Caenorhabditis elegans: one gene and its partner. The protein of the gene in region 1 purifies or fractionates together with the protein of each later gene. This does not show direct contact. Each region holds a gene or a part of one and is shown on either strand. Other genes may lie near its edges. The genes, in order: C46E10.8 and Y32H12A.7.

The links.
Region 2: the proteins of C46E10.8 (region 1) and Y32H12A.7 fractionate together in Caenorhabditis elegans (co-fractionation; one large-scale study listed by BioGRID). This does not show direct contact.

Annotation. Positions count from the first base shown.
Region 1 is NC_003280.10:3,725,037-3,729,876, reverse strand, and holds C46E10.8 (C2H2-type domain-containing protein), read left to right. Parts: upstream 1-1,812; 5' UTR 1,813-1,858; coding exon of another isoform or gene 1,859-2,187; 5' UTR 2,188-2,442; coding exon 2,443-2,508; intron 2,509-2,556; coding exon 2,557-2,613; intron 2,614-2,662; coding exon 2,663-2,725; intron 2,726-2,788; coding exon 2,789-2,941; intron 2,942-2,984; coding exon 2,985-3,083; intron 3,084-3,126; coding exon 3,127-3,207; 3' UTR 3,208-3,555; intron 3,556-3,761; 3' UTR 3,762-4,027; downstream 4,028-4,840. Other genes in the region: C46E10.1 (uncharacterized protein), read right to left, coding at 4,028-4,277, 4,326-4,401, 4,452-4,599, 4,643-4,713, 4,764-4,840.
Region 2 is NC_003281.10:5,381,549-5,387,174, reverse strand, and holds Y32H12A.7 (ABC1 atypical kinase-like domain-containing protein), read left to right. Parts: upstream 1-1,768; 5' UTR 1,769-1,771; coding exon 1,772-1,954; intron 1,955-2,123; coding exon 2,124-2,218; intron 2,219-2,403; coding exon 2,404-2,593; intron 2,594-2,642; coding exon 2,643-3,224; intron 3,225-3,573; coding exon 3,574-3,780; intron 3,781-3,871; coding exon 3,872-4,177; intron 4,178-4,554; coding exon 4,555-4,740; 3' UTR 4,741-4,888; downstream 4,889-5,626. Other genes in the region: Y32H12A.8 (WDR59/RTC1-like RING zinc finger domain-containing protein), read left to right, coding at 1-331, 488-1,126, 1,269-1,337; Y32H12A.6 (Flavodoxin-like domain-containing protein), read left to right, coding at 5,185-5,382, 5,449-5,626.

The DNA of each region.
Region 1 (4,840 bases):
CGATAATTGCGCCCCACCAAAACACTCTGCGCGGGTTCATTTATTCCTTCACCTCTACTCTCTTATCAATGGACCTGCCTGAAGCTCAAGCTCTTGTGCCAGTTTATTCTCAGGTACTGTAAAATTTTCACAAATTAATTAATAAAGGATCCATTTTTTTTCAGGAATTGCGCAAGGTGCAACAGTTCAAGTAATTACATTCTCAGAAATCTCTGAGCAATCACATACGGAACACCAAATGTGGACTTGGGCTGTCTTCTTACGAAGACGTTAGTGCTTAATAGATAGCGTTTGGCATCATAATCTATCTATCTCTATCTAACTCTATCTAACTTATCTATTTCAGAGGTACACCTGCGAATTCTGCGGATCGAAATACAATTACCAAAGAAGCCTGGTCAGTCATATGAAAAGTCATCTGGAAACTGAAACTGCCGCTTCTCCAGCTCCTATGCAGACCAACTATCTCACGTGTCCTATTGGTCAGTGCGAGATGAAGTTCAGTTCGCAAAAGATACTTCTCGAACATCTTTTCTGTCGCCACATAGGCCAGGTGCAAGAAGTGTAAAGCTCCGTTCGCCAGTGTTCAAGGACTCCTTGCTCATTTCAAAGAGAAACATTGTGGACTGAAGGTAGAATCAGCGACAACGTCAGCAGACGCCGCGCAGAACACTTTAGGGGAGTTATTGAATGCGATGGGAGCTTCTTTGTCAGCAGAAAGAATAGATGGTGGGCCAAGTCAGGAGCTCAGCAAGGAAACGGATTTGCAGGAAAGCTTGTTCATAGAGTCTTCAGCTTTAGCTTCAGCCAATGGATGGCCACAGCTTTCCGTTGATAGTCAAAGTTCGGGCACCAGTGGTTTCCCAACGAGAAGCAGGCTCTTCGAAGAAAAACCATTGACCTATATCAACATTGATTCTCTTCCCTCGTCTTTTAGCCTCACAACTATGGTAAGAGTTTAAATTGTATATTGAGCAAAATCTTTGGTTTTCAGGTATCTACTCCAGCTCAGTTGCTCAGCTCTTTTCCCGGTGTTGCGACAACGCCAGAAGCTTTTTTTGAAAACTGTGAAGGAAAGTTGTGGAATTCCTTGGAAGCTTCTTTGCCGTTGAAGATCAATGATGGAATGCCAAACCAGGAGTTCGAAAAGCAAGCGGATTCTCAGAAAAACTATGGATCACCACAGCTCAGCGGTGCCACCCTTGATGGTCAAGGCTCAGTGAGTTCAAGGCTCAGTGAGAGAAAGCTCAAGTACGCAAGTGATCTTCCGACAAGCAGTAATGTTTGTGAGCCAGCCAACTCATTGAGCTCGACGAGGCACCAAACTCTCACCGGTTCTAATGGGGTAAGGCCAGTAAGTTTAACTTCATGTAAAGAGCTTCTCCCTCTACAACAAACTTTTTCCAGGTTAATCGCCAATTCAAATGTGAAATCTGTGAGAAACAATTCGCCAACAAGCCAAACTTAAACCGCCATCGAAAAATTCATTCTGGAACAAAATCCAAGAAGTGCAACATTTGTCAACAAACGCTTCACAGAGAGAATAGGGTATGCTAACTAATTTCATTTTTATATACTTTTCAGAATTTTCAGCTACAAGAGCATCTGTACACACATCTCAAAGAACGATCTCATTTCGACTGCCCCATGCTGAACTGTTTTACGCAATTTCGGTCTCATTTGGAAATTCAACGTCATCTCGAGCACCACCACCTCGTTTCACCACACAATTTGGCTCCGTGTAGGAAATGTCGCAAGCACTTTGGAACTGCCAAGTATTTCCTGATTCATCACTATTATTATCATTCTACGGTGAGAAAAAACTATATAATGCTTCAAAACTAATACATCTTCTCAGGATCTGACCTCTTCGGCTCCAGCGTCAACTTGCTCAACCAGATGGTCACCTATGACCGTATCAACTTCAGAATCCAGCTCAACTTCAGAATCCAGCTCAGGAATGCCAACACTGCAAGATCCAATTCGACGATGCCCCAATGAGCCTGTTGCACAATGCCCTTCACGCTCCAGGAAGCCCATTCAAATGCTCATTTTGTGGAGCTGAGTGTGAAGATAATCTGGCGTTTACAATTCATATTGTTACTGCCAATCATAATTTTAGTGGACTTTAATTGATAATTTCGTACTGTTAAATAGTTATTTTTCGTAACGCCATTCAATAAATCTAGTTTTAGTTCTCGAGTGAAACTTAAAATTGATATATAATATGAAAAAAGGTTTTTCGGGCGCCCAAAAACTGCCGAATAGTCTTTTTTTGAAGCTTATTAGAAACTACACATATTTTCTTTCTTTCTCTGCGTCTCTCTTTCTGACCTCCCATTTGCCCTCCGCCAATACCGCGCGCTCAATCGATATTTGCCTCCAACACTCCATTCCGTAAAGGGGCATTCATAACCATTTAAATACTTTTTTCTTCTATCAATGGACCTGCCTGTAACCCCAGGTGCTCCCAATTTTGCTCAGTTGCTTGACCCAGTTCATTCTCAGGTAACTTTTTCCACGTTTGTTTTCAAAAGATTCAATTAAAATATTCAGGAGTTGGGCAAGTTTGTCTACCAATGCAAAGCGTGTAGCAGAATTTACGCGAGCAGGGTAAGAGAAAACTTTGCTCCAATTATAGTTCCAATTATCACAATTTCAGAAATCTCTGAAGTCCCACCTGAAGAGCTACAAATATGCTCGGGAAGTCGCTGGATACAAAAGTGTGAGTTTAGTTTTTTTTACTGAACAGAAAATCCCTTTGTGTTGAAACTCTACCTTTTTCCAGAAGCATACATGCGAAATCTGCGGAGCCCATTACTCAAGTAAAATATACTTGAACCGCCATATGAAAAAGCATCTGGAAACTGCTGATTCTGGAGCTCATGCAATTCCCAGTCTGGGCTCACCTGCTCCTTCTTCTTCAGGCTTTGCAACTATGGTAAGAGCTTTGAATTGTGTTGAGCAAACTATTTGGGTTTTAGATCGTTCCACCAGCTCCGTTGCTCAGCGCTATTTCTTCTGGATCTCCACAGCTCGGGGACACACGTGTTCTCGCCTCTTTTTCGTGCTTCGCGCCAATGGTAAGAATTCATTATTGTGGTATGGAAAAGCTTGGATTTTCAGATTTCTCCGCCATCTCAATTGCTCAGCTCCATTCAAAGTGATCAAGCAGCTTCGCAGCACAATCATCTGGAGAGATGTTGAGAGCGATAGAAGCATCCTTGTCGTCAAAAAGCAATGATGGATTCGGCGCGTCAAGCCAAAAGCTCGGCGAGCAGGCAGATTTGCAGAAAAGCTCTGGATTATCAGAGCTCGGAGAAGTCACCCCAGATGGTCAAACCTCTGTGAGTTATTTGAAGTTTTGGCGTTCAACTTAGGCTGACTATTTTTTGGAAGTTTCAAACCCCACGCGCTCTGCCAACAAACAGCAAGCTCTGTGAACGGGGCGAATCGATGAGCTCAATGGGATCCCCAACTTTCAATGCAGATCAGTTACTTGGCGAATCTACCTCGATGTTCCATGGAGCACAGAAACCTCAGCAGCCAAAATTTGTAAGTTGTCAAAGCTCGCATTTCATGAGGGCAGAAAAACACCTTCCTATCTTTGAGAAGGTGTACTTTTGCCACATAGGCACGTATACACCTATGCATCTGGCTGCCTAGGCATCTAGGCACGTAGGCACCTGTGTATCTGGGTACCTAGGTACCTAGCCACGTAGGCCTAGACCTGAAATTTTGCTCTAAACACTTGTTTTCAGGAATGCGAGCATTGTGAAATTGAGTTCAAAGACGCTGTGCTGGGCCAGCTCCACACCAGTTTCCACACGATCGGCAACCCATTTCAGTGCTCACTTTGTGGAGCACAATGCTACAATGAGTACGCCTTCAACATGCATCTTGTCCAATCCAGTCACAATTAGTTTTTGTCTTGCTCCCTGTTTTATATTGCTATAATTAAGCATGTAAAAAAATAATCATTTTCATTCGTGTCCAGAAGTTTGAATTAAAATCGAATAAATCGAATCTACCGGAAAAGCATCAAAAGTACAAAAATGAGCACAACCTTCTTGAAACTAGCCGATGCATTCATCTCCTCATCAAAGCACAAACGATCCGTCCCACATCCTGTCAAATCCTCTTTCTGGCCGAGAGCAGCAGGTGTCGGCTTTTGTGGTGGTATTGGAGCTGGGGTGGTTTCTGCTACTGTCGTTGTTGGCTCAGGAGTTGTGGTAGTTGTTTCGTCGGCCGCGTATTCTTTCACCGGTGTTGGTTGTCTGAAAATATGGATTTTAAATTTGAAAAGTTCACCAGCAACTGCTCACTTTTCACAAATTCCTGCGATTTCACACAGAATTTTGATGTACTTGTGCAAATACGTGACCTCCACCACCTCCATATCTGAAATTTGAAAGATGCTTTCTTGTAGACGGATTAAACCAATTTCTCACTAGATTCGGGGCGATTCTCAATGCTTCTACTAATCACCCCGGCTATAACGGATTTGTTCGTCTCGTGGTAGTGAATATTTCCGGTTACTTCAGGAACACCGGCATAGCAGAACGTAGACTTGTCCACTGGTGAGGAGCAGTTGGTAATCTGCAAGTTATGACGATTTCCATGAAAAAAAGTTTCAGCTTACAAATCCAGACAACAGTGTCTCACGATCATCCTTGCTCGCGTACAACTTGTCGCCTTTGTACAGGAATTCATCTGAAAAAAATAAAGATAGTTTTCGGCTTGAACCTAGCACTGAGGCATACCCAAAATACACGCATAATTCTCGTATACCCAGTTGGTCAAATGGAAGTCTGCAAGAACTAATCCAGTCGGTTTTTCT
Region 2 (5,626 bases), on another chromosome or scaffold:
CGAGGAGAACGATGATGACAAGTCTCCAGTACTCAGAAATACAGATATAGTTCAACCGGCGGCTCCAAACGCGAAATATCTTGAAATGGAGGATTGTGAAGAAGAAATTGAATGGCTCAGAAGTATGCACGAGGGATCAGATTTCCATAGACGCAGATTTATGGCTGTATTAATGTATAAAATGGCTCAGAAGGCAATTTTCCGTTTTGCACCACATTTGGCTGATTTTGAGAGAGGACGGAAAAGATTCCAACATTTGCTTACTTTACATGCAAAGCAGCGTCCATTGCTTGATATGATGATCACTAAAGTTCGGGGAACTTATTTCATGGTTAGTGGCAAGAAGTTCAAAAGAAAAGTCTTCCCAAAATTTTTTTTAGATCACTTTTTTAAAAACAAAAATCTGAATTTCGTTCCACGATCAAAAAAATGCAGATCTTTTATTTTAATTTGGAATTTAAAAAGTACTATTTTCAACAATTTTCAGCCGCTAGAAACCAACATGTTCCTGTATGATTCCAAATTGATAACATTTGCGGAATTAGTTGATTCGGAAGTTCATCCAAAAGAATGGAAGGAACGAAAAGAGACATTTGAAGAAATTAGACGACAGACACCGAAAGATCCAAAATCAATGTCTAGATTCCTGAATATGCATAATTCGGGTTCTGATTCGGATTCTGGTTCAGAAGTTCGATCGGATTCATCTTCGTCTCTTGGTGGATCAACTGAGTCTTTGAACAGCTCGAAAAAAGGAAAACGAGCTCGCCGAGCAATGAACAAGGCACAAAGAGAGCTGATGCTTTTAAAACTCCGATCGAAACCTGTAAATCCAGAAGAAACATTTGCTCTGGAAAAACGAGCAATTGGAGCAAAAAAGTGGAAGGTTCGACGAAAAATCAACGAGATGTTGGAAGGAATTGCGGATCTTGACAAATTTAAGATTGAGGCGAAGCTTCCGGCAAAAAAGAAAGATTTATTGAAACATATCAATGAATTAATTGTTGAAAATTCTGATACAGCACACTGGTCATGGGGTGATTTGAAAATGCAGACGAGAATACGAAAGATTCCACCAGCAAATAGAATGAAGCCGAAGCATATTAATCGTATTTTGAAGGGAAAGGTATGGAAAAATAGTTTCTGAAAGTTCTAAATGTTTGAAATATCTATAACAAATGAGCTTTAATGTTTTCTAGCAGTTCTACATTTTCAGACCCAAGATAAAATTCAAAGAAATTTTTTAAAAATAAATCTTTTTTTTTCAGAAAATGTACAAACCGCCGAAAAAATACGATCCAAAAGATGCGCAAACTAACGGACGCAAGTGGTTCTAGGAAGGATATACAGTTTTCTTCTTGTTTTATATATATATTTTTTGTTAAATTTTTTGTTATCTTTATCTCATTTTTATAGCCATTTTTCCAATGTATTTCGTATTCCCCTCAATTGTTCTCCCATTATTTTTTTCAAAATTTTGAAATTCTTTCAATCGCTAGTGATTATAAGGTATATTTTCAATATGTGATAATTTTGTATATATATATTTGAATCGATTTGCGCCCATCAAATTGCCTTTCTATTTTTTTTTTCTCAAAAATTATGTTAAATTATTTGTTTGTTCTGATTGGATTTTATGTGATATAAGATTGTTTTATGATATTTTTTTCGGGTCATCCTTTTAATTTGAAAACTGGTTCTAGAATCCTGAATTTTATCTTCTTCTGTAAACTTTTTTCAGAATTTCCAATATTTTCATATTTCCAGAGACATGATATTCGGGTCGACGAGGTTAATTTTGTACAGGTGCTGGGCTCACAGCAGAGCCGTGAGCTCTAGAAATTTTAAATTAGGAATTGTGCTCGGAATGGGTGGAGCTGTGTCTTTAACAAGGTTACGGACATTAAAATGTGAAGCAGAGCATCAAGATCCATGGCTTCTTGTTCCACAGAAAGTAAGATCGAATTTTAAAGTTAAATATTCAAACTTTCAAAATTTTATAAATGATTTTAAAACTTTCAATTACGCAAAAACTCTAGAATTTTATTCTTCACATCCAATTTTTTTGCATAAGTTTTTAATTTTTCGAAGAAAAAAATCCCATAAAATATCAAGATTTTTAGAAAGTCGTAGTGGAAAAATCAACGATGATGGGCATAATAACTCTACCGATTACATTGATCGTTGTCACTTATAAAGCAATAAGGAAAATGTTCAGGTGAGCAATTTTCTGAAAAAAATTGTCTTGCAATTTTTTTTTAATTTGGAGTTACAATGAAAAAAAATAAATTTCAATTTTTAATTGTACAAATATTCCAAAAGGCAACTTTTTATATCTCTGATCTGAAAATAAAAATGCTAAAATATGATTTCCTGGAAAAAAAGAAAATAAAATAATTACAGATGCATTAGCTTATTCCTTCGATTTTCTCCAATTCTTCTCACTTATCCTCTGACAAAAATAGAAGCATTCGAGAATCTTTGGTGGAGATATCTTCTGTGGTCTCTTCAACATTCTGGACCAACTTTTATTAAATTAGGACAATGGGCAAGTACACGAAGGGACATCTTCACAAAAAAGTTTTGTGATCGGGTGAGATTTTGATTTTCTAATCATCTTCAATTTGTATTTTCAATTTCAGCTCTCCGTGCTTCATATTCAAACTAAAAACAAGAGATTCTTCCGTGATAAGAAAAAAGTAATGAATGAAGTATTTGGAAAAGGATTTATGAAATTGCATGGAAAACAAGTATTTCTCGAGATTGAACCATTTTCAATTGGCTCAGGATGTATTGCACAAGTATATCGAGGTACTGTAGATATCTCTGAACTTGAGAAGGCTACTGGAAAGGAATACCCAGAGCTTAAAGGACGTACAACACAACGGATTGCTATTAAAGTGGCTGATAAAGATGTTGATAAGCAAATTGAATTGGATCTTTCAATTCTGAGAAGTGGAGCATGGTTAATGCAACATATTGTACCGGCTCTTTGGTATTTGGATCCAACTGGAGCACTTGAACAATTTGAAATGGTACTTCGGCGACAAGTTGACTTGAGAAATGAGGCGAAGGCTTTGAAGAAGTTTTCAGACAATTTTAGTTCAAAAGAAACTGGAATTAAGTTTCCAATTGTGCTTGGATATACTAAAAATGTAATTGTGGAAACATTTGAAGAAGGAATTTATATTAATCGATTGGTTGCAGAGGAAGGACAGCCAGAGGTTAGAAATTGGAGATTTGGTAGAAAAAATATGAAATAATTTTCCAAAATAAACTTCCACTCTAAAAAATTCATTTTGCAAAAAAACTTTTTTTTTTCAAATTTTTATTGCGTAAATTTAAAAATAAAAAATTAATTAGAATTTTGCCAATAAAAAAATTATTTTTCAAAAATCCGAAGATAGATTTTCAAAAAAAAAAGGTATTTTTTTAGATTTTTGAAAACGAAACATTTTTTCGTTATTTGTTTTTAAAAATTATTGATTTCGAAATGGTTACTAAAAATAAAATCGAACGTTTAAAAAATATAGAAAAAATAGATTTTCGGGATTCCCTCCAATATTCAATCAGTTTCAGCTAACCGCCCGACAATCACAAGCAGTTCGACGGAGAATTGCTTTGCTCGGAGCCCGAGCCCTTCTCAAAATGATTTTCGTCGACAATTTTGTGCATGGTGACCTGCATCCGGGAAACATTCTGATTCGATTCAATGATAATGAAGATAATCTCAGAGGAGTACACAAGGCGCCGAAAGCAGACAGTGCACTTAAAAGAGGGGTACGGGTTACTGTAGATATTTCGATTTTTTTGACAAGTGCAAGATAAAAACAAAAAAAAATCTGATGGATCATAATAATTATTTTTGCAGCTGGAATGGTTTCGTTCACTGGTAAACTTGCGTTCAGCTCCAAGAATTCGTTTCACCGACTCTCCGGATCTTGAAGATGAGCCTACTCTGGTCCTTCTAGACACTGGAATTGCCATTTCCGAAACACCGAAAAATTTGCACAATTTGAAATCGCTTTTCAGAAGTGTTGTGGAGAAACGGGGATACGATGTCGGGAAGCTTCTTCTTCATCAATCCCCCTTCCAACAGTGCAATGATCCGGAAAGGTTTTGCCGACAAGTGGAAAAGCTTGTGTTGAAGGCCAGAAGCGAAAAGAGCTTGAGAACTGTGCGTTTTAAACGAAAATGTTTCAAATTTTAATTTATAAATTGGAATTTTAATTTAAAAAAATCGTAAAATCTTGAAAAAATGTATAAAATTTTGGAATTATTTCTGAAAATTGTCAAAGAAAAATTCAATTTCAAAAATTGACATCGGAAAGAGTTTTAGTTTAGTTTTTTGTTTTAAAAATACAAAAAAAAATTGAAAACTAACAAATTCGAACAGTTTGAAATTTTAGAAAACTAAATTTAAATCAAAACTATGTATTTCCGATTTTGTTTCAAAAATCAGTAACTCAAGAAATTATAGGTTTTTTAGTTTCGAAATATATTGAAATTGAAATTTTTCAAATAAAGTTCCCTCATCAATATAAACTTTTTCAGCTCAATATCTCGGCACTTCTCTCAGAAATGTTCACAATTGTGGCGGAGCACAAAGTGGAGCTCGACTCGGCTTTCACTACAGTAATCCTGTCTGTAATGGTTCTCGAAGGATTCGGCCGATCTCTGGATCCGGATCTTGATCTCTTCCAATGCGCTAGACCGTTTTTATTAAATGTTCTCGTATAGTGGACTTTTTTGCGAAAATCGTCCTTTTCAATTGTACAGTTTCAGAGTAGCTTTAAGATTTTATAGTTTTAGTATTTAGAGATCTTCTTTTTGTTTCATTGGGTTTTACGCATTTTTCAACTGTTGCTAATAAAAATGTTCAACAATATTTTCTGCTTTTCAACTTTTTAAATTTTTTTTCGGAATGCTGGTCTCACTGTCCAGTTCTATTACTTCTTTTTCTTAGCCAGTTTGATTTTTTTTCCAATTTTTTTTACTTAGATGCCTGCTGTGTGGTGCTCCTTGCATGATGTGTTGTGGTGTAATTTTGGTACGTTTTTAATGAAGAAAATGGCTATATTAAAGGCGCAGACACTTCTCTCAAAACTAAATCGGTGTCTACGTTTTGAATCTTTTTATTATTATCTTATTTGAGAATTGCTCGAATTTCAGTAAAATATCCAAATGTGTGCCTACCAAGTTCCACCACTGCGACCTGAAGGAGGTCCACGTGGCAAGGAGCCGCAGTCGTGGCTCGAGGATTATTTGGAAGGAAAGGACGAGATTCTGCTATACATAACTGCCGCTTTGGGAGTTCTGATGCCGGGATTTGTCTATCTGCTCTATCGCAAGTGCCATGCATATTATGAACGTTATTCAAAGGTTGGTAATAGTGGAAAACAAAATCAACAAAAATCTGGTCTCGCCACGACTTCCAATTTCTTTCAGAAAAAAGAAGAAGAACGACTTGCCGAGGAACTTGCCGAATCAGAAGCCGTCGTAATAGTTCTAGGAAAAGAAGACGGGCTCGCAGCTCCGTGGGCCAAGGTGATTCACGACAAGCTTTGTGATGAAATGGTCCGAAAACCGATGATTTGGTGGTCAGACTCTTTGGATGTGAAGGAGT